Linked DNA regions of Oreochromis niloticus. The protein of the gene in region 2 interacts with the protein of the main gene of each other region in a pairwise test. Links are inferred from orthologs where the notes say so. Each region holds a gene or a part of one and is shown on either strand. Other genes may lie near its edges.

What was found.
Region 1: the proteins of myog (region 2) and txndc9 interact in binary tests that used the Homo sapiens proteins (3 or more experiments, as listed by UniProt). The two-hybrid records come from large-scale screens. The link is inferred for Oreochromis niloticus from reciprocal best matches to the Homo sapiens genes MYOG and TXNDC9.

The regions. Positions count from the first base shown.
Region 1 is NC_031987.2:21,410,539-21,422,208, reverse strand, and holds txndc9 (thioredoxin domain-containing protein 9), read left to right. Parts: upstream 1-7,252; 5' UTR 7,253-7,386; intron 7,387-8,167; 5' UTR 8,168-8,179; coding exon 8,180-8,353; intron 8,354-8,649; coding exon 8,650-8,768; intron 8,769-9,063; coding exon 9,064-9,318; intron 9,319-9,406; coding exon 9,407-9,521; 3' UTR 9,522-10,030; downstream 10,031-11,670. Other genes in the region: DNA repair protein REV1, read left to right, coding at 36-134, 232-348, 436-562, 640-768, 862-1,016, 1,102-1,221, 1,316-1,536, 1,636-1,808 and 8 more; mrpl30 (large ribosomal subunit protein uL30m), read right to left, coding at 11,184-11,316, 11,463-11,536. UniProt on the Homo sapiens protein: Significantly diminishes the chaperonin TCP1 complex ATPase activity, thus negatively impacts protein folding, including that of actin or tubulin.
Region 2 is NC_031970.2:25,638,353-25,648,744, forward strand, and holds myog (myogenin), read right to left. Parts: upstream 4,698-10,392; 5' UTR 4,580-4,697; coding exon 4,046-4,579; intron 3,477-4,045; coding exon 3,377-3,476; intron 3,289-3,376; coding exon 3,170-3,288; 3' UTR 2,457-3,169; downstream 1-2,456. Other genes in the region: ppfia4 (liprin-alpha-4), read left to right, coding at 1-23. UniProt on the Homo sapiens protein: Acts as a transcriptional activator that promotes transcription of muscle-specific target genes and plays a role in muscle differentiation, cell cycle exit and muscle atrophy.

The DNA.
Region 1 (11,670 bases), on a different chromosome or scaffold from region 2:
ATTGATGATATTTGTATGTATTTGTTATGTGTCAGGTTCATCAGCCCAAGTCAGTGTTAAATCTTGCATCCTCCATGTGGACATGGACTGTTTCTTTGTGTCTGTGGGGATTCGAAATCGACCAGATCTTAAAGGCAAGCCACTTTTTTGTCTGTTTAAATGTGCTATCAGTAAATTTTAAAAAATGGACGTAACACACTCGGTGCTCATGTTTAAAATTGTTTCTTCCAGGTAAGCCTGTAGCTGTGACCAGTAACCGTGGACAGGGCAGAGGGCCTGTGAGACCAGGAGCTAACCCTCAGCTGGAGATGGAGTACTACCAGAAAAAATACACACACCCAGAAGCTGGTGAGATTGTCATAACAGTGGCTTTCACAGGCTTTTACATGTCCAGCCCTTCTGTAACTAAGCGTCCCCTCTCTGTTCACCTTTCAGAGAGCGCAGAGGATGAGATACACACAAGTCCTTCACAAGAAAGTCCTGAGTCTCGTACCAATGGAGTGGAGCAGGATGCTGTTGCTCTCTCAATGGCAGAGATTGCATCCTGCAGTTATGAGGCCAGGTAACCTATAAAAACAGATCAGGTCTGCCTTAGTTTTGTAACAAGAAGAATGAGAACATATATTCTTTCTTCCACAGGCAAGCGGGCGTAAGAAACGGCATGTTTTTTGGGAAAGCAAAACAGCTGTGCCCCGCGCTGCAGTCTGTGCCATATGATTTTGAGGCCTATAAAGAGGTGGCCCTCAATATGTATGAGACTCTGGCCAGGTAGAGAAAACAGCACTATCTTTTACTCACACTAACTATGTTCTCCCTTAATTCTTAATATGCATAACTTATTTATGATTTTACTCTTTTCAGTTATACCCATGACATCGAGGCCCTCAGCTGCGATGAAGTGTTGATAGATGGCTCTGCACTGCTAGCTGAAGTGGGCGCCAGCCCTGAAGATCTAGCCAAAGCGATCAGAGCAGACATCAAGGAGAAAACGGGATGCTGTGCTTCAGTGGGCATGGGTAATTTGTTTGCCTAGTTCGTACTGTAAAATAGATCAAGGCTGCCGCTGCATTTTACAAAGTCTGACTAATCTGGTCTCTTCAGGGTCCAACATCCTTTTGGCTCGGCTGGCGACTCGTAAGGCCAAACCTGATGGCCAGTATTTCCTAAAGTCTGAAGAAGTGGATGATTTTATCAGGGACCTCCCGGTGACAAGCTTACCTGGTAGGTGTGCAGCACCACCTTCTGGTCAATCCATGGATATCAATTCTGTGTGGTAAAATACTCAGTCAAATGATGATGATCCTACTTTTTCAAGGTGTTGGGCCTGTTATGGGGAGAAAGCTGGCCCTCATGGGTGTGCGGTCCTGTGGTGACCTCCAACAAGTTTCTCTGTCTCAGCTGCAAAAGAAGTTTGGGCCCCGTACTGGACAGACTCTGTTCCGCTTCTGTAGGGGTCTAGACGACCGGCCAGTCCGCTATGAAAAGGAAAGGAAATCTGTCTCTGCTGAGATGAACTACAACATCCGCTTTACTCGGGTTAGACCTGCTGTTTGTCCTCCCTTCTGTGTCATGTGTTCTACTTCAACATGCCAGCTTTTTTTCCCCCTTCTAATCCTCTTTTGTATCACTCACCAGGTTGATGAGACGGAGTGTTTCCTGACTAATTTGTCCATGGAGGTGCAAAAACGTTTACAAGAAGCAGGTCTGCGGGGTCGAAGAGTCACCCTTAAAGTCATGGTTCGCAAAATTGGAGCGCCACTTGAACCTGCTAAATATGGTGGCCATGGCATATGTGATCATTTAGCCAAGTAAGAAAGAGATCGTTATTCTGTCCTTGTGTGTTACAACTAAATCTTCGTATTTTCTCCTCTCTTGTTTATCCTTACCACAGTTTCTTTGTAAGCTTATCTTTATCTGTCTCCCTTTCCATCAGGACCGTGATGCTCGCTCAGTCCACTGACAGTGGTCAGCTAATCGCTGCTGCAGTCATCAAGCTGTTCCACGCCATGAAGGTAGAGGTGCAGGACTTGAGAGGAGTTGGCATTCAGGTTCAGCTTCTTGAGGGACATCAGTCTGCAACACAGGACTGCCGAGGCCTGCGAGGACGCTCCATCAAAGAGATGCTGTTAGGCCAGGGATCGAGTGCCAGATCTAATAACCGAGGCGCGTTTGGTGTTTTTGATTCTGCTCGTCTTCATTGCTGTCTGTAAAAATCACTTATGTCTTGTAATATTATTACAGATGCTGCAGACGTACTTCAGGAGAAGATCGCTTCCTCTACAACAGTCCCAACAGCAAACTCCTTGCCATATCCTTTGTCACCTGCTGAGCCTGTACCCGGAACAAGCAAGGAACAACCAGCGTGCAGACAAACTCCAAAGCATTCTCGGACACGTCTCAACTTCAGTATCGAAGTCCCCTCCCCTTCACAGGTCAGGACTGGAGTGAAATGTCTGACTGGCAAAACAAAACCTAAATATTAACACACCTCTAACAAACTGTTTCCTAATTTTTTCCAAGGTGGATCGTTCTGTGTTGGAGGCCCTGCCTGCAGAGCTGAGAGAACAAGTGGAGCAGTCGTGGACCAGGAGAGATGGGAGGCCAAATAACTGCCATTCACCTGGTCCGCAGCTTTCCCCTCTCAGTTCTCATCCAGCCTCTCCCCCTCGTCCTCCCCTTGCAACCGTACCTGCACTGAATTATCCACCTGTAGGAACGTTGGTCCTGCAGATTCCAAACCAGCCAGAAAGTCCAGGAATTGTACTGGAACTGCCTAACTTCTCACAGGTGTGTATGCTATTAGATTTTTTTGTGATGGTTTGCCGGTGGTTTAATTTTACAGTCTAAAGTAGAGAGAAAATCAGGAAAAATTGGAAACTCTAGTTTCTGTTGTACTCTGTTCCACAGAAACATGTAGTGCCTTGGTGGCTTGTAGTAATTTTGCTTATTGGAACCTTTAAACAGCACAAAGTGCTGTTCTCTACTGGAAATGTGCCATGAACACATGAGTTGTGACTGAAGCAGATGGTCCCACAAGTTAAAGAAAACAAAAGCTGGTTTCATAGTTGGTAGTAAGTGAGCTTCCCATCTGTCTGACTGCAGGTCGATCCAGATGTGTTTGCTGCCCTTCCCAAAGAACTACAGGAGGAACTGAAAGCTGCCTACAGCCGTGCAACCGGTGTCCAACCTCAGGTGAAAATGTGTAAGTCAGCAGACGAATTTTCTGAAGGAGTGCTTTTCTTTTTGGTTGTTTGATTTTACTTTTTATTCTTTTAACCCTGATTTTATTATTTGATTTGATTTCTTGTTTGTTTGTTTGTTTGGCCTACTGGTTTCTCTGCAGTGGAGCAGAAGAATCCACTGCTGCAGCTAAAACAGTCTGGGGCAGGAATCGGCAACGGTCGGGTAAAGCGCCGCTACAAGAGAAAGAACGCAGTCAGTCCTCTTAAAAAAGGAGCTTCTCCACTCAAGAAGCGTCCAACAACAAACAGCCCAGCCAAAAGCCTGCCACCTACTGGAAAATCACGGGAACCAGTAAACATTCGAAAGGCAAGTTTGTCCTCTGCTCTATGCATAAAGATGCTGCCAACATGTGAAAGCATATGATTTAGTCGACTAATCTTTAAAAATTGCAACTTCTTTTCATTCCCAGACTGAAAATGGTCCCTCAACATCAGTTTCAAAACCAGAGGTCCCACCAGCCGTGGTTAAATTGGCTGCTCGTCCTCCTCCAGCACTGGCAGGAGCCTGTGACTTAACAGACATTAAAACACTGCTACGGGAATGGGTTACCACCATAACAGGTACACCGATGTGTTATGATGGCGTTTCCTCTGGTGCTGTTGTTGTTGTTGTTGTTGATGATTTTTATGGGTTTCCAAAAGTGCATCTTTATCTATGTATTTTTTATTTATTTATTTTTTAGAACCCATGGAGGAGGACATCTTGCAGGTGGTGAAATATTGCACTGACTTAATTGAGGACAAAGATTTGGAGAAGTTGGATTTGACTATAAAATACATGAAAAGGTTAGTTCTGTGCAGTTAAGATTCCTCAATTTAACTACCTTCCTTTTTCTTTGTTTTCAAGGTTTCACTCGCTTGTTATGCTTGAGCTTTGTTTTTGGGTTTTTTTCCTGCAGGCTCATGCAGCAGTCAGTGGAGTCTGTTTGGAGTATGGCTTTTGACTTCATCTTAGACAACGTGCAGGTGGTTTTGCAGCAGACTTACGGCAGCACCCTGAAGATAGCATGAAGAATGACGGGGTGCTCTCCTCGCTACGTGCGATCATTGTAAACAACACTTTTTTGATTTGTTAATTTCACAATACAAATCATGATGTCTAAATTCCGACTTATGAAAGATACAAATAATGGCTACACCTTTATGAGAAAGAGCCATGACAGTATTTTGGACAAACTGGTTGTTTTTATCACAGAACAATGATGATAGTAGCAGCTTTTTGGAAACTCACTTTCATTCACTCTTATTTTCCTACGACTCATTTTCATATGCAAGATTTTATTAAGGGCAAAAAAAACGCATTAAGGGTATCTGTTTTTTGTAGCACTGCAAAACTTTCAGCTGGTATTAGATCGCATACTCCTGTGGTGACCTGAGCATTAGCGCTGTAGATCAGCTTCAGAGATCTGTTTCCAGAGACAGTTCAGTTTCATTTTGGGTAAGAGAGTCGCAGAGAGTCAGATCTGGAGAGTGGGCCAGTTGTGTTAACGTGGCCAAAAAAGAAGAAGAAGGAAAAAATGATGTGAGCAGGCAGGTGATGACACATGCCACAGGTCAGTTTTTGTTTTTTGTTTGTTTGTTTGTTTATGCATGCGTCAGAATCTTAACACTGAACCCCACATTCACTGTGCACATAAATGTCCAAAAAGTTAAAAACAAGTATACTCCTCGTAGCATTCAACGGCTTTCTGGCTCGATCCTACCAACGAAGGCTGCTGTTATATCTCTGAGTCGTAGCTGGACTCTGAGACAAAACAATAACATCCGTTCCATCCAGGCCTGATTTCGAAATGTATTTTTTGTTTTCCTTTTGGTTTTTTCCCCCTCTTGAGCGTTAGAATCCGGTATGTTAAATTTTCCTTGCTTGGATACGTGATCATGTTAAAACAAAAAGTACATTTCAGCAGTTTTACAAACCGCTTACTTTGTAGCATTCTTTATACATAAGACATGTTTTCAGAAACGATTGGACAATGTTTTTTTTTTCCCCCATCATTGTTTTATCGGTGCTCTTTGCCACTAGCACTTATCTGCGAAGCATCTACTGCTGCATGCAGCAGTGTCGCTTTTTTTTCTTGTTTCTCGTTTCTTTCCAAAAAAAAGAAGTGCCAAACGCTGTTATTATACTGTGTAAATAATGTTTTAAAGATCTTTGTCTAAAGTTTTAAAAGAAAAAAACATGTATGTAGAGAAATTACCTCTTGTATTGTTTACCGGTAGTGGATTCTTAGTAACTGTCTCTAAATTGTAACTCTTTAAATGTTTCTAAGTGTTCCAACATGGAAATCAGAAGCTGGCCAAAGCACTTGAGGTGAGGTTAACTGTTGATTCTCAGTAGCACTCTGATATTGGAGGATGTCGACAGGGGTCATGGCAATCAATGAGTAGCCTATGCATTTCTGTTTTTTCTCACCTAACAATGAGATGTCCCTTCAAGACCACGTAACATTAAATAAAGCATTTAGTGTTTATCTGAACATCGAAACAATGCTGAATGTGCATAGGAAGAGGCGATCTGATTTTTAACTCCGTCAGCCACACTGTGCGATTCACACCCTCGAGACACTTTGTACGGCTTGCAGCTGTGTCACACTATTTGTGTGAGGTTTGACTTTAACAGCAGATGCAGCTGCTTGACTTGTGATCGCACCATGGAGGATAATTTGCTCGTGGTTAAAATGCGTGTTTTAAAAGATAATTTTGATATGCAAACCAAATCAATCGGTCATCTTTTGAAACTTGTTGAAATGAATGTAATTTAGAATGTGTGATTCACTTTAAAGACGTTGCTTCTCTTCACCTCTCACGTGTTTCCCCAGGGGAATGGCCAGAAGTTAAAATAAAATAATAATAATAAATTGGCCTGTCTTGTCTAATCTGGCTCGTGCCTGAAGACCTGAAGCTGTGAAACTTGTTTGTAAGTTTTCTAAACCTTGGTAATAAACTGTAAATTCTGTATTCATTTATTTGTCTTTTCCTTTCTATAAACTGGCTTTAAAAAGAACTTTCAGCTGATAGAATATGTTTATGAAAATTATCTTTCAGTGTGTCTGTTATGTTATTCCCAGGTCTGACAGTGATGAGCATATAAATGTGCTAGACATGTCTGTTAGAGATGTGTATTATTTTGATGCCAAAAAACATTGAATTTAATAACTTATTTTTGTATTGTTTAAATGGGATAAAGTTGACAAGCCACACTATGAAGATATGGGAAGGAGTTCTTGAAGCTAGGTTCAGGAGAGAAGTGAGGATCGACGAGCAGCAGTGTGGTTTCATGCCAAGAAAAAGCAGATCTTTAGTGCTTGCTCTTTCTTTTTCTGTCTTTGGGGGTCTAGAGAAGGCAAATGATCGGCTGGCAAGAGGAACTGTGGTACTGTACAAAAGGGTAAGTGGTAAAGAAGTATGTGAAGGTGGTGCAGGACAGTGAGACCATGGTCAGGTGTGCAGTAGGAGCGACAGATGGCTTGAAGATGGGGGATTACATGAAGAATTGATGAATATATAGGACAAAGGAGGTTGCATTTGGAGCTGCCAGGCAGAAGGAAAAGAGGAAGATCTCAGAGATGATCCACACGTGAACACATTAATTATTAAAATGAAATTTTATATATATATTTGTTTTTCATTTTAATAATAAAGTCCAAATTTCGAGATTAAACGCGAAATCCTAGTACTAGTTTTTGTAGAGGGTATAAGCCATGGCAACAGCTTTAATCTTCACATTTCGACTTTATTCTCAAAATAGCATTTCGATTTTTTTCCCTCTTAAAATGCTATTTCAAGGCTTACCTCGAAATTTCGACTTCATTCATGTTTTGCATATAAACTACAAATATTCTTCATAGATGAACGCACGGGATTTACTGCAAACAATATAACAATATATTTTTTCTTTAATACATCAGATGACAACTGAGCTTTTGGGTCCCAATAAACAAAAGCAGCAGTACAGCGTGAAAAAATATAACACACACACACACACACAAAATAAATTAATAAATAAAAAATAACCCGTAAAAAATAACCGAGTTGCCCGGATGTACTTCCCACGACGTCAGACGGGCCCGCTGTGACGTTGTATCCGCAGAGAAACGTTTCGTGCACGGGCTGAGGTGTTGACGAGCATCTGTCACCTTACTAGGTAATGTTTTAATAGCAGCTTGGTTATACTTTATATTTTCGACAAAACGCACAGTTGACGTTCATTTAAAAAATAAAAGATCAACAAAACTGTTTCCAAAACTGTTCCTGTGACGTTTGTTAACAATGGCGGGGCTAATGCTAGCTAGTTAAGATAGCAAGCAAACGCAGACTGAGGGTTTATATAGAGATTTTTGTTGAACTGCTGGCGTGTACTTTTCTTATTTTGTATTAGTTAGCTGCAGATACGTGAGAGGTACCCACCCTGTGTCTGTACCAGCTAACTGTAGGCACCACCGGGCAGAAACAAGGTGTGCCCCCCAGCCGTTACTGTGGCTTTGTCTGCGGCGTTAGCTAGCTAAAAGAGGAGCTCTCGGACCAATTTCTGTGTAAGCAACGTTGCTAACCTTACTTTGTTGTACGTACTTGATCACACCAGCTCACAGTGTAGGGCTAAAACAGGGTTTTCCCCATTGTAAAATTTTGGAACAAAGGCTATGACGAGATTCCTTTCTCTTTATTTTGCATCTTTGCGCAAAACAAAGCTTATAAATAAGTCATATGAATAAGTGAACTATTTCCAAGTCGTCATGCGCTCCATCACACTACCTTTGAACTTGTAGCCAGTGCAGTGTGGATGTCACATGACTGATACACATCAGCCACTGGCATTTGCAGAAAGCTTGTATCTGCACATATCGATATTAGGCACTGTGTTGTTGTTATTGCCGTGCTGTCTGGTGTCATGTCTCACCATTGCTTATCTGCCCATTTTCAAACAGAGTCAGGCAGCCATGGCTAACCAATCAATGGAAATCATAACAAAAGTTTTGGAGCAGTCAGCCAAGCTGGTGGAGGAGCAGGTGGATGCCCAGTTGGCCAAGCTGAATGAAATGGATGAAGATGATTTGGAGAGGCTGAAGGAAAGACGATTAGAGGCACTAAAAAAGGCCCAAAAACAGAAGCAGGTTTGTGGGACGTTTTATAATCACAGTAGCATTTTGCTGTGTTAATTTCGTAAAGCAGATAAAATGATTTGAATCACTGAGCAGATTCACTTATCAGCACTACAATTTGTAGTGATGTCAGTCAGTTCTTTGAAGGATCATAATAAAACACCTGGTGTCATGTGTATAGACTGTCTTGCTCTGAAGTTAGGCTACACAGCATTTGGTCTATTATTCAAACGGTTTAAAGAGTGTTTTCATTGTACTCAACTATAATAGCTTTTCTTGTATTTGTAACCTTTTGTTTTGCTTTTCAGGAGTGGTTGTCTAAAGGTCATGGGGAGTACAGAGAAATATCCAGTGAGAAAGACTTTTTCAGTGAAGTGAAAGACAGCAAGAATGCCGTGTGCCATTTCTACAGAAATTCAACCTTCAGGTAAGTCTAGAAAGTCACTAAATGATGCAACAGGACCATGAATTAGAAATGTAATGTAGTCCAAAAAACAAAAGAATCAGAGGTAGTTTATAGAAAATGAATATGTTCTGCAAATTAATGAATGTATTTATTAAAATCATCTTTTAAGACAAAATGACATTTCCTACGTGTGAAGTGTGTTTCAGTTATCTTTAACAATCAACATTGTGCCTTGTTTAGCGTCAGTTTTTTTACTCAGTCGCCACAGTATTAATCTGTTGATGTCAGACGTCTGAACTTGTCTCTCTGTCCTTAGATGTAAGATCCTCGACAAACACTTGGCCATCTTGGCAAAGAAGCATGTTGAGACCAAATTCATCAAACTGAATGCAGAGAAGGCCCCATTTCTGACAGAGAGGCTGCGCATCAAAGTTATTCCGACTCTGGCTTTGCTTATTGACGGAAAAACAAAGGACTATGTGGTCGGATTCACTGACCTGGGAAACACAGACGAGTTCACCACAGAGATGCTCGAATGGAGACTTGGCTGCGCGGACGTTATTAACTACAGGTGAGACGTGCAGTAGACTCACTCGAGCACCTTATGTGTCGTGTATGAAAACGTTTTATCTAACACGATCCCTTTTTCCTGTTTCTAGTGGCAACCTGAGGGAGCCCCCAACAGCGACACAGAGATCAGGAACAAAGTTCACAAAAGTGGAGAAGAAAACCATCAGAGGGCGAGGTTACGACTCGGATTCTGAAGATGACTGAAGAGGCTGGACAGTTGTCGGGTTTACTCTCTCAGGGCTACCTCATTACTAAAACTCCAGCAGACAGCCCACTTCCTTTTTTTCCCTCTCTTCTATCAGTGACTTAATTAAAAAAATAGAAATTACTAACCCGATCCACTGATTCATTTTATTTAAAAAGCACGTTTGTTTCAGCCTTATTTAAGGACTTATCCACCATGATTTATATTGGAATATCTGAGTAATAAAATGTATGGTTCATGAACGAGGGAGCACACTGAGCGACCACTAGCTGTTAGCTGTGTTTTGTTTTTCTTGATTTTCAGGTGTAATCATTTATTGTAGACAGCTGTCTCACGCACTTTCCTGTAACCTTTGTACGTCTCGTGTTGGAACCAAGTTCATGGTGCGTGTGAGTGCCAAGATCATCTTTGAAGAGCAAAATAAATTTTTACATGACATTTCATGGTAGCATGAGTTTGACCTAACTAATGCAGACTTAATAAAAACAAGAAAAGGATGGAAAAAAAACTGCTTGTGTATTTTTTGTTACTTCTTCAGGGTTAGAGGCAGCGTATTTGCAAGAGTTGTATGTTGCCGTTATGGATGAAAATAATACATCCTTAAACTCACTGGATACTTTTGTCTTCAGAACAGTCTAAATTTTTTCATAGCATAGATTCAACATGGTTCAACCTTGGAGAAGGTTGTGTTGGAAAATCCCAGAATATAAGCAGTTTCTGAAATACTCAGACTACACTGTTTGGCACAAACAACCATGCCACACTCAATCACCTTGAGGCATTCTGATACTGCAGCAGGCTGTAATGACCATGTCTACATGCATTGAGTTGCTGCCATGTGATTGGCTGATTAAATATTTGGATTAGCAAGCAGTACAACATATGCACCTAATGAAGTGACCAGTATAATTACTGGCAATGTTTTTTTGTGAGCCTTTGTTCTTAAAAAACAAAATTGCTGTTTTTGCCTTTAAACCAAAAACTATAACCATGTAAAAACATTTTAAGGGTGCAGATTATTTGTAGCTGATAAGACTGGCTGGTGCTATGCTGAGCACGTTGAGTATTACTACAAAACCGAACACTTGATTGTGCAACCGCAACACAAAGGGGGCCCTCGATTTCTATAAATAGCTGTTTGGCAGTCTGATACAACTGAGGTGGTGAGCAAAAACCTTGTCTTTGGGATTTAGGAAGTCATTTTTAATTTTAACAATCTGCCCCAGAAAACTTGTTAAATTATCTCAGAAGGCAAATTTTACTTTTTACCAAATTACTAGCTGTCTGTATAATTAATATGCTGGTATTCAAATGACTAAACTGTTGATTTGTAGAAAAAATAATAATAATAAACCAAGTTTTCTGGAAAAGTTTAATGAGTAATTCCTGAATTAACTCAAACTTAGAACAGTGGGTTTGCACAGAGTTGAATTTTTCAGATGCGACGTTAATGTCGGTATTCCTGCTTCATCAGGGTGGCACTTTGCTCAATCATTTGTGAGACAGGTTGATGAGAACATTTAATCATATTCATCTTCAGCTCAGCATCAAAACACAGGAAACAGCAATCCAGAAGTCTGGTTGGTGCCACGGCTTTCTCTCATTGCAGAGAGAATGACAACAGGACGTTTTCCAGGACATTCACACACGCAACAGTGGAGCTAAGATTCGATCGCCTTGTTGTCTACAGGTTGGAGGAGGCGGTGTACAATAAGTTCTCCTTTGCTGTTGATGTATGCATCAGCCATGTCATGCTCAGCAGGGAGCCCATAGGGAGTTTTTAGCGGCTGTATCCTGAAGGTATCAGAAAGAGATGGCAAAGGAGATATAACAGTATAGATATATAGGTATCTCAGGCAACCTCAATTTGAAAAAAACTAACCTTTTTTTAATAGTACTTTAAGAGTGGTGTGTTACTACTTTTAGTTAATTAATCCTACCTTACAAGGTGCTTGACAAACTTCAGTTGACTGTTGACTGCAGGAGTATTTTTATGAATTACGGGGACGTGAGCCTAAATCCGAGACAAAGACAGAACAAAATTATTCCAAAAGATAAAGGCTGTGAGCGTCTCTGCATGAGGTGACACACTTCTGTACAGCTCATTTATCCTGATCAGAGCTCCTTCAGGGTACAAGTCACTGTTGA
Region 2 (10,392 bases):
CTGTGCGGACCTATTCATGTTAACTACTCTCTACTTACTAACAGGAGCGTTAATGCTGACAGGTAAGCAAACAGAAGCTCGACAGGATACTGTGCATTGTAGCATTGTAGGACCGTGACTCTAACTTTCAAGAGGCAATTAACAAAAGGTGTGCAAGCTAAGCCTAAAAGTTTACTACTGCGTGTACAGTAGATCAATCAAAGCAGAAGCTGTATCCAAAATTTTAATCATCATCATTCAATTCAGTTCTTTTTAATAGAGAGAGAGCTAAATCACAATAAGAGTTGCCTCAAGGCGTGTATATTGTAATGTAACGATGCCTTCTATGAGCAAGCACTTGGCGATAGTGGGAAGGAAAAACTCCCTTTTAACAGGAAGAAGCCTCCTGCAGAACCAGGCTCAGGGAGACAGGACAAAAGAAACACTGTGGAAGAGAGCTAAAGACTGACAGCGTCTTGTCATCACCTACCTGAGCTGGTGGGTGGCGTTAACACCCAAGTAGAGAAATACGACGGCTCGAGAAAGTAGGATTTTCTAATTCATACCATAGTTGCAGTTACCAAAAATCTTGGATGAGTTTGAATCCTGGTGACCTTGAACTCAAGGTCACGGTCAGAAGTCAAGTTTTCGGAAAATCTTTGAATACAATAAATCAAGTAAGCTGTTATCTGGGATTTTGAAATTGATACCATAGTTGGATCTACTAGGAGACTGAGGGGTAGCTCTGGCAACCGCCAGTATTTTATGAATCAAGAAGCATGTGCAACTTAATTTTTCTTTTTTTTCCTATTCCACTTTCCTCATCTTCTTTTCTCTCTTCTAGTGCATTCTCATTACCTATATGGACATATGCTTGCGGCCTTTTGAGAGTGATATGCCAAATCTGGAGAGGGAGACCTGGGTACCTCACAGGGAAGGCTTCGTCCCTTTGTTGCCCAGCCTCACCTTCCAACTTTCACCTCTCACCTCTTCTTCGGACACGTGCAATACAGAGGCCAACTCTGACCTTTGAACTCTTGAGAGTGCACATTGGCTGCGCTCGCTGCTGTAATGGAGGCTCATCCTGGTCTCTCCCAGTTTACCCCCCGTGCTCCCAGTAGCCTTGTTGTTGTGGTTGTTGTGCTCCTGCTCCCCTGATCTCAGCTGTGGATTTTTTTCCTGGTTGTAATAGTCTCAACATGGCCAAGCCCAAACCAATCTTCCTGCGTCATCATGTCCTTTGCAAGAAAACAGCGTCAAAACGATTAAAGGAGATGGTGAGCAGGTGTTGGTTTGGATTTGAGAATGATGAATACTTGTATAAATGGCAGATCCCACCACACGTTACCCCTCTACCGGTTATGCAAGGTATTACTCATTTATCTCTGTACATAAAATGGATGACTTATGTTTTTTATAGAAATATTATATATAAATATATATATATAAATATATATATATTGGGAATATATATGGAAAACAATATAATATTGCTGTATGAAACCCAATGCCCTGTATTCAATAGTGACTGTTCTCTCTCTCTTTCTCTTTCTTTCTCTTTCTCTCTGTGTCGGACCTTCGTGTGTCTTTTGCTGTATGCTGTACGTGTGTGAATCGTTGGTGGGAGGGACTCACTAAGGGAGGTGTGTGTTTCCACAAGGACTCTTCACAGGTTCATGGGTCCAATATCAGACTTCTCTCTTTGCCTCTTCTCCCATTCCTTCTTTTTTCCTTCTCTTCCTTCTCTTTTAACACAATGTAGCTGTTGCCTCTCCTTTCTCTGCCTCTCTCGCCTTCTGTATGACACTATGTAGCCTAGAATAGAGAGAATCCTTTAATATGAAGTGTGTGTGTGTGAGAGAGAGAGTGTGAGAGTGTGTGACTAAATGAGTCTCTGTGCTTGAGACTAGTAGATTTCGTGTGAAAAGGCCGGCCCCAGCCATGCGACCATGACTTTCTCTGTGGATGGTAGTGTGACCACTGTAGCTCTTCTCTGTTGATTCCTTACATTCTCTCAAAATCAAACTGTAAACTGCTGCTCAACATCAGCCAATGAAATCCACATGAAACTGCTCCACGTGACAGACTTGTCTAATCTTGCTCTGATTGAGCAGTCAGTACTCTTGGCTCACCAACTCCTCATCCAATAAGAACACAGCAAATGAACCAGTGAAGTGCTGGATGGGTGTACAATCTTTTTCTTTTTCTTTTTTTTTTGAAAGTTTTTCCAAGGTGTCTAAAAGGTGTAACGTGCTATGTGGCAGCTATGAGTACTGTGTCTTTATTCCAGGTGTGAAACAATGCTGACAAATCAAGATTTTATTATTTGGCTATTTAAAAAGAAGTGTAATGTATTTATGACACTATATAGACATAAGTAAAGCTGTTTTTTAAAGATTTGGTATCCTGTGTTCCTTGTTAAGTTATATGTGCCAGCGTATTGTATTATAGGCTAAAAACAACACTGGACAGCGTATTGAAAATGGTCTTTATTGTAAGAATTAAACAGAAAATATCACTTTTCAGAACATCTACAAATACACAACAATCTTAGTTATAAAAGTCCAAAATAAGTTAGCAAAAAAATAAAAATGGCAAATCCACTCTGTAGAAAAAGGGAACGTATTTACATCACTAGCATTCATAATCAGTTTAAATTAAGCAGATCTTGGTCAAAACTGCCATGGTACATATTGGCCCCACAAATAAACTCTTGTTTTTTAAGCATTAAAACTCACACACACAAAAAAAATGAATGAAAGATTAGGGAAAGCATTTGAAGAGGAAATCTTAAATTAAGTAAGGAAAGAAAACTGGATTTGTCATTCCTCTGTGGCTCTATAAATCTGGAGGCAAGCCTAACAGGGATCACGTGTAGTAAATATGTGTTGGGTTCATGCAGCAAAGTCTTTGAATCTCCTGTAGCTTTGACAAACAGGTCTGGAACATTGCATAATACAGGAAATAAAGGGAACAAAGCCTCAATGTGAACAGGAAAAGTCAGTTTGGCTAGCTGGCCCGTGGATCAACAGAGCTGCAATACTCGTCAAATGGAAACATTTTGTAATTTGGCATAAGACAAAATAATTTAATCAGCAGAAGCACAAAATAGACATAATTTAGGATTAAAGGTCACTTTGCTTTTTGTTTGAGGCTCGCTGTGCACCTACTGGCCGGCTGGTCTGAGGGTCTATTTGGGAATGTCCACAGGAAAGGCCACAGGTCCATCTGCTGCAGAGATGCTGTCCACAATGGAGGTCAAGGCCCGCATGTTCCCCTGCTCTGGAGAGTCTGCAGCGCTCAGGAGATCTGCAAAAAGACCCAGTTAGACACTAAGTATCTGTAAAGGTGCTGCCTGGTCTACCTAGTTTAATGGGACTAAGTGACCTGTGCTTACCCTCGCTGCTGTAGCTCTGCGTGCACTGCTCTGGAGTGCTGCTCCACTCCGGGCTGCTGCAGCAGGTGCTGCCTGAACTGGGCTCGCTTGACGACGACACCTGTTGCCATGGAGATGCACACACACAAGTTGCTGTCAGTCACTCTGTTATGATACAGCACGCCACACAGAAATACAACACACACTAAAGTGCAGTGTACTACCACAAATGCACATATAGTTAATGCATCCCGTGACCCCACTCAGAGGCAAATGTACACAATGAAAAAGACTTTCCATTACTACGACGCCTGTCACAGGAGTTCTTGTCAGTGTCTTTAAAAACACTAATGAGCTACACTGCATCATGTTTTTAAAAACCTTTTAAAACACAACATTTTTGCTCATTATATGGCTGAATACATATGCATAACATCAAACCTTATCCAGAATGAATAAATCAAAAGGAACATGACCAGATAATCAAATTTACACATTTTTGATTTGACATTTTACCCCAGTCATTGTTTAATGTAGTATTTATCTTTCTCTTTACTGTACCGCTCATTTTTCTCCCATATCTTCTGCCACTTTCCAACTAGTGCTGTTCCCAACTCTGTTTCCCTCTTGGCTGTTTTCTCTGTTTTTTTGAATTTCTCCCTTCCCTCATCCTGTCTCTGTCCTACTTACTCTGGGCTGAGTTGGGCTGGGCCGGTAGAGCAAACCCTGCTGTCCTGTCTCAGTGTCCTGCTGGTTGAGGGAGGACACCAGGGCTTGGAGCCTTTCAATATACTGGATGGCGCTCCGCAAGATCTCAACCTTGGGCAGCCTCTGGTTGGGGTTCATCAGCGTGCTCCTCTTCAAAGCATCGAAGGCCTCGTTCACCTTCTTTAGGCGTCTCTTCTCCCTCAGTGTGGCTGCTCGCCGGCGGTCCATGGTCACTGTCTTCCTTTTACACAGCTTACAGGCCCAGGGAAGACACTGACCTGGGCAGTGGGGCTCGGAGTGAGGCGACATGCTGGATGGAGAGGCTTTGTCCTCGGTACCTGTCACTCCAACTCCAACACCCCCAGACAGGTTCCCACACAAGCCCATCATGGAGTTCCTGTCCTGGTAGCCAGCTTGGTCATACGCCCCGGGCAGGCGAGAGGGGAAGTAGCTGTCCCCTCCTTCATAGAAGCGCTGGTCAGGGAAGAAATAAGGGTTGGTCTCAAAAAGCTCCATACTGGACAGTTGTGGTCTGGATACAAGGGAACAAAGATCCCAGCTTCCCTAGGAACTAGTCTTCAGTATGCGCTCTTCTGTCCTGTGTCTGGAGTTTGCGTTGGAGTGTACGTGTGTGCGGCTATCTTCTTCCCGGCCTGAGTTTGTGATGAGTGGAAGACGTGTGGAGAGCAACTGGTGTGGAGCAACTGTAGGCTGGCATTTAAACCCCTCTGCCTTCTGCTGGATCACAGGGTTAAATTTAGCACGAGCCCCCAGAAACCTGACACGACGTTTAGCTGTTGCTGCACATCTACACATCACATCTCTGTTTGGCCCTGCTCTCTAGGGCTTTAAGGCCCAATTGTACGCGTGCGTGTTTTTCTGTGGGTTTGTGCGCTCATGTATTTCTTAAGAGGCCAGGACATGATCAGGTTGAAATGGGAGAGACAGCCTCAGATCAAAGGTGTCCATCTTAGTAAGTTAATCCCAGACTTGCGTCCCCTTCCGAACATGAAGAGTTCCATCATTAAGTGGGGAGGCAGAAGGGACATTCTGGAAACAGCTGTCACTTCTGCTGGGAGCCAGTGGCACACAGTGACAATACGTTGTTTGACTTCAGGTTTTTGATGGGAAGTCAATGAGGCAAGAGACTGTTGTTTACTCTGGACCTCTGTGAAGCACTGTCAGACTCATAATGCGATCAACTTGGTCAATACCAAAAAAAGCTTAGGTGACATTGTTCCTGTGGTTTATGTAACTGCATTCATATCCACTGACTTTCATCCTGAGACGATTGCACTATGTGATGCAAGTGACCTTCTGAGCTATACTAGCCTCAGAACCAGGCAGGTCTGTGCAGGAACCATGAGCAGAGTGAGCTGCTAGGCTGACGCTGGCTCACATTACTCCCAGAATTTAAGGGACAGTAATGAGTCAGCCACACAGAGGGAATGGCCTTGGTTGTCCTGACCTCTTCCAGCAAGTCATAGCATTAGCTTAGCCACTGGGTGTTAATCCTTCCAGGACATGTCTCACCTCGTAGCTCATCAGCTAATTCTGACTAGCTTCCGCTAACATTGCAGCACAGCCAAAACACACACTTCTGTCAGCAGAGAAGTGGCCTGGAGTGACAGGCATATCATGAGGAGTGTTACATGAGTCTGTGCTCTATTTCTTTACAATACGTTTATCACAGTAATATAATACCTCTCAGGAGATGTTTTGGAAGAGACAAATTGCTAGCAGTTTCCTAGTAACCACAGTTCATTAAACTTAGAGGGTTGAAAGGTCTGGTGAATACCAATGCCATTGAGGCTTTAAGTTATTCTCCAACCAATGAAAGAGTAAATACAAGTTTTTTGAAACAAAAGTAAACAATACTATATCAGTGGATACCATGAGTTCAATATTTAAAATAGAGAAAATGAAGAAGAACTAAGGTCTTTATGGTGTCACGATAAGATGTGAAAAGCTAGGTTTTATACTTTTCCTGCTTATAAAATTAAAGAACAGCAAAAATTCTGTCACTTCACCTACTTCCAAGGTGCGTGGAGAGGATGAGAAACTCACAACGCAGGGACTCGAGCAACACTTAAGAGTATGACCCTGATGAAGGCCACAAGCCGAAACGCGTTGGTCATTTAATAAAGTTGTTCCTCTTTACTTTTAAGTGTTGCTGGAGTCCCTGTGTTATAAAATTAAAGAACACATTATTAATTCCTGTCTTATGTGAAAATTTTGAAAGTTCGACATACCAAGGAGCCTATCCTTTTTTAAAGCTGCTTTTAATATTTAAACTACACCAGTGTAAAACCTTCTTACATGTTAGCTTGCAAGCTAACACTATATTGTAATTTAGTTCTCTCTCTAGACCTCTACCATCCAGATCTTGTTGTTGAAACTGAGACTAGGCAACAATTTTCCAGTTTTCTATTGTCCAATTTTGTGAGCCCTTGCATATTATAAGGTTTGATGAGATGCTCTCCTGCATAGCTTGGTTGCAACAAGTAAGTTTCTGTTGTGTTCCTATCAGCTCAAACCAGTCTGTCTATTCTCCTCTAACATCAACAAGGTGTCAACAAGGCCTTTTCACCCAGATGAAAATCTACATCAAAAAAATACATATTTTTATTGCTCAGATTAATTTTTTATTGTTGAGTTTCTGACTTTTTTCCACAAGCAGCGACAAGCTCACACAGACAAACCTTATTTCGGATGAAAGAACTCATTATAACTCATTTCCTCATTATGACTGCCCCTTAAAGCCTCTATTTATTTATTTTTATTGTGGATCAGCGTTGCCTAAAAATAACAGCAGCTTGTTTAAAAGAACATATTTATAGGCATGGTTCGTGGCAGATATTTTGACATTTCGTGTAAGAGAAAGCACAGGTGCAACCAATGATAGCTGATTTCCATTTAAGCGTTCCAGGGTTGTGCTGGTTCAAAGGGTTAATGATACACAATGGAACAGAGCCTCTTATTTCTGACCGTTTATTCTTTACCTGTGTTTTATATCATTTGGAAGGTAACAAACACAAAGTTTCAGTTAGACACAATCAAAACAAAAAAATCTTACAATGTGAATTATCTACAGGGAAGTTTCAGTCCTGGGATTAGGTGCCAGGCAGAGGTTTGGCAGGCCCGTCTGGTGGCTTGTGGTCTCCTCCTGGGGTTTGGGCTTGGGTTTGAGGCAGAGTGCACAGTCTTAGCTTGGCACGGGGCTGGGTCGGCTGTCAGGTTAGTCTGTGATGGATCGTCACTGATGGTGGAGTGAGTACAAAGAAGCCTGTGTTGGACTCAGGGGTACAGCAAGGAGGGGGTTTGCAGTGTGTCAGAATCACTCATAACCCTCTGTCATCTTAACCCATTGTCAGCAGAACTAGAGAAGTGTGTGTGTGTGTGTGTGTCCCTCAGTATTTGAAGTGAACACTTAAGATACAGAACAGTTTGTTTACCTGTGGTTTGTTAATACTGTACTTTATTTTCCATCTTAAAATAGGCCAAACCAGTGAAAAATAGGCTGGCTCTAATTTAATTATAATTGATTGGCCACATGTAAGAAATAATGCAAAAAAATATAAAAAATTAATACCTATTGTGACATTTGGATTTATTCTAAGTATCAGAGCTATTGATTAAATTACTAAATAAATATTAATAATATAATATAATAATGTATTTCTTGTCCAGAGTGTTTAAGGGTCCCCTTGTGTGCAGCAGGGGGGGTGTTGCCCTGTCACTGGCAACACTGTTCCACTTCTCCTCAGTGACAAGCAACAGCACATTGTGGGACAGCTGAGCTCTGGGGGAGGAGGGAGGGATCAGTCCTCCTCACCCCAGGTTAGCCTCAAGATTTCCAGTGACCTGGAGAGCTGTCATCTGAGTGCAGTCGGGAAATCTCAGATATGTAAGAGGAGAATAACATAACAACAGCGAGGAACTGTTTATTAGAGGTGGCTAAGCCAGGTCTTCCATCCAGTGAGATACATTACGATATAAGACGCACAACAGGATACACAAGTTGTTTAAACAAATAAAATACATGCTTTTGTTTCTACTTCATTTGGATGTTCCCATAATAATTGGCAATTTAGTGTCCAGCATGAGCGCTAACCTATTATTTAGACTGAGAATTGGAAGGAAGTAGAATCATTCAATTTTGACTTTTGCTTGAAATTTTGTGAACACTTTAGAAACAACCTTTTTTGGCTTCTTTGTTACCTGCCAGGCTATGATCCATCTTGCTGCTGCAGAGATCTTTTTTTTTTTTTTTTTGATCAAGCACTCCTGGGCAGTGTAACAATGATCTTCAATTTTTCTCCATTTACGCCATCTGTCTGACTTTCTATTGTTGGACTAGAAAGTGCAGCAATAGTTCTGTAACCTTTTCCAGCCTGGTGGGCTTCAATAAGCCTTTTTCTAAGGGACCTTAGAAATCTCATTTGTGCATGGGAAGATACAGTCCCTCCAACATGACAATGGATTTTTTTTTTCTTTAAAGAAAAAGGACTGAAGAAAGACGACTTTTTTTTCTTCTTGAAATTAACTTCTAATCCTCAATATGTTCATAGACTTGCTGGTGTATTTTTCTTACTCTATAAATAACAGTTATGTTCTGCTTGAATAACTGAGTTCTGTGTTTTACACTTTTAGGATTTGTGCAAAAAATCTGGTGACCTGCTCAGATGTCTAAATGTTTATTTAGATCATTCAGAACGAGTCGGAAAGTTTGACACTTTCAAGGAAAAAGACACAGGAAATTATTAATTATTGTTTTCCACATGCAAAAAATAAAGTCTCATTCCTGGCCTTGCGCTGAGTGTTTCTCTACTCCTGGAAAGGAATATTCTGTCTGAAATCCAGACTCATGCAGCATTATTATGTACTAGTTTCATGCCTTTGGGAGAGAGCATTGTCACCATAGTGACAGCAACACATGTCCAAGTCTGTCGTCTCAGAGACTGTCGCCATGAAAACTGCACATCCATTCCTAAACTCTTTGATATCAGAGCTTCCAGATTACGATGAGGTTATACTTACTATAGAACATTAATGTTGTATAGGATCATTATATGGAGATGTGACAGAGCAGCCCACTCCTCCTCGACAATCATCAGTGCATAAAACACAATGAGAGCAAATTAAAATATTCACGGTCAGATCTGATTACTGCCCTGCTGTGTCCCACTATTTCTGTTGAGTAATGACCCTTACATAAGCGATACAGTTTGACGACCCCCCCAAAGGTGATGTGACACTACTATGGCCTGGCTAATCATCAGGAGAATACTCCCATTCATTTATACTCAGAATGAAGTGCCCCACCTGTGTTTGCACAGGGCTCTGGAGGCCTGGAGAAAGCCTTCTAAGTCAGGGGAGGGGGAACAGTAGTTCTGTAGCCCAGCCATGCTGCTGGTCACTGGGGCTTTTATCGCAGAGTAATCCCCTACAACAAACAGAATGGCCGGCATGTGCATACGCAGCTGTCGCAGTCTTAGTGCAAGTGGTGTCATGTTAAATCACAGGAATGGACTGAGCCCCTGCACCATCCGCTGCCCTTCCCTTCGCTGGCATCCCACTCACTGAAAGGCTCCAGCACACACAGACAAATACACATACATACTCATGCCTATGTGCATAACCCACTTCCCACTAACATACTTTGCAGCACATGGCAGCCCAAAAGTTATTCCCTGTAAATAACTTGTGCCCCATTGCTACAAACAACCAGACTATTTCAATGACATATATTCAGAGGACTTATGATAATCAAAGCAGGTATCACAGGCAGGAAAACAAAGTGACATTTACACCCTGACACTTTCCAAGTATAAAGCACCATTAGCATAGCTCCTCTGGGAAATTCTGAATCCTGTCTGAAGGCAGGTATGTATATAGTATATACTGTTGAGGATGGCTATGTTTTAAACTATTTCCAGTTTTTCAGCCCAGCTCTGTTATCTTACTCTGCTACATTTCAATCATGCCCCTCGCTCCCCATCTATATCCTTATTTTTAATCTACACTATCTTCAGGCCTTCTTCCGTATTCCTGTCTTTGTTTTTCTCTGGCTCCAGTGACCTTCTCCCATGTCAGCAGAGGGACAAATTTAGCGGCCCAGTTTCTGGAGCGACCAAATAGTCGGACACAACAGAGGGAATGTGTGTATTTGTGTGTGTGTTTGTATAGCTGCATGGAAATTAGAAAGGAAAGAAAGGCCCTGGCCCGACAGATACAGTTATAGATATCCAGACATGTACTGTCCTCGGGGTATGAGACAAAGGACACCAGAGGAAGGTATCACAAAAATCTATATCTTAAAATGAGTT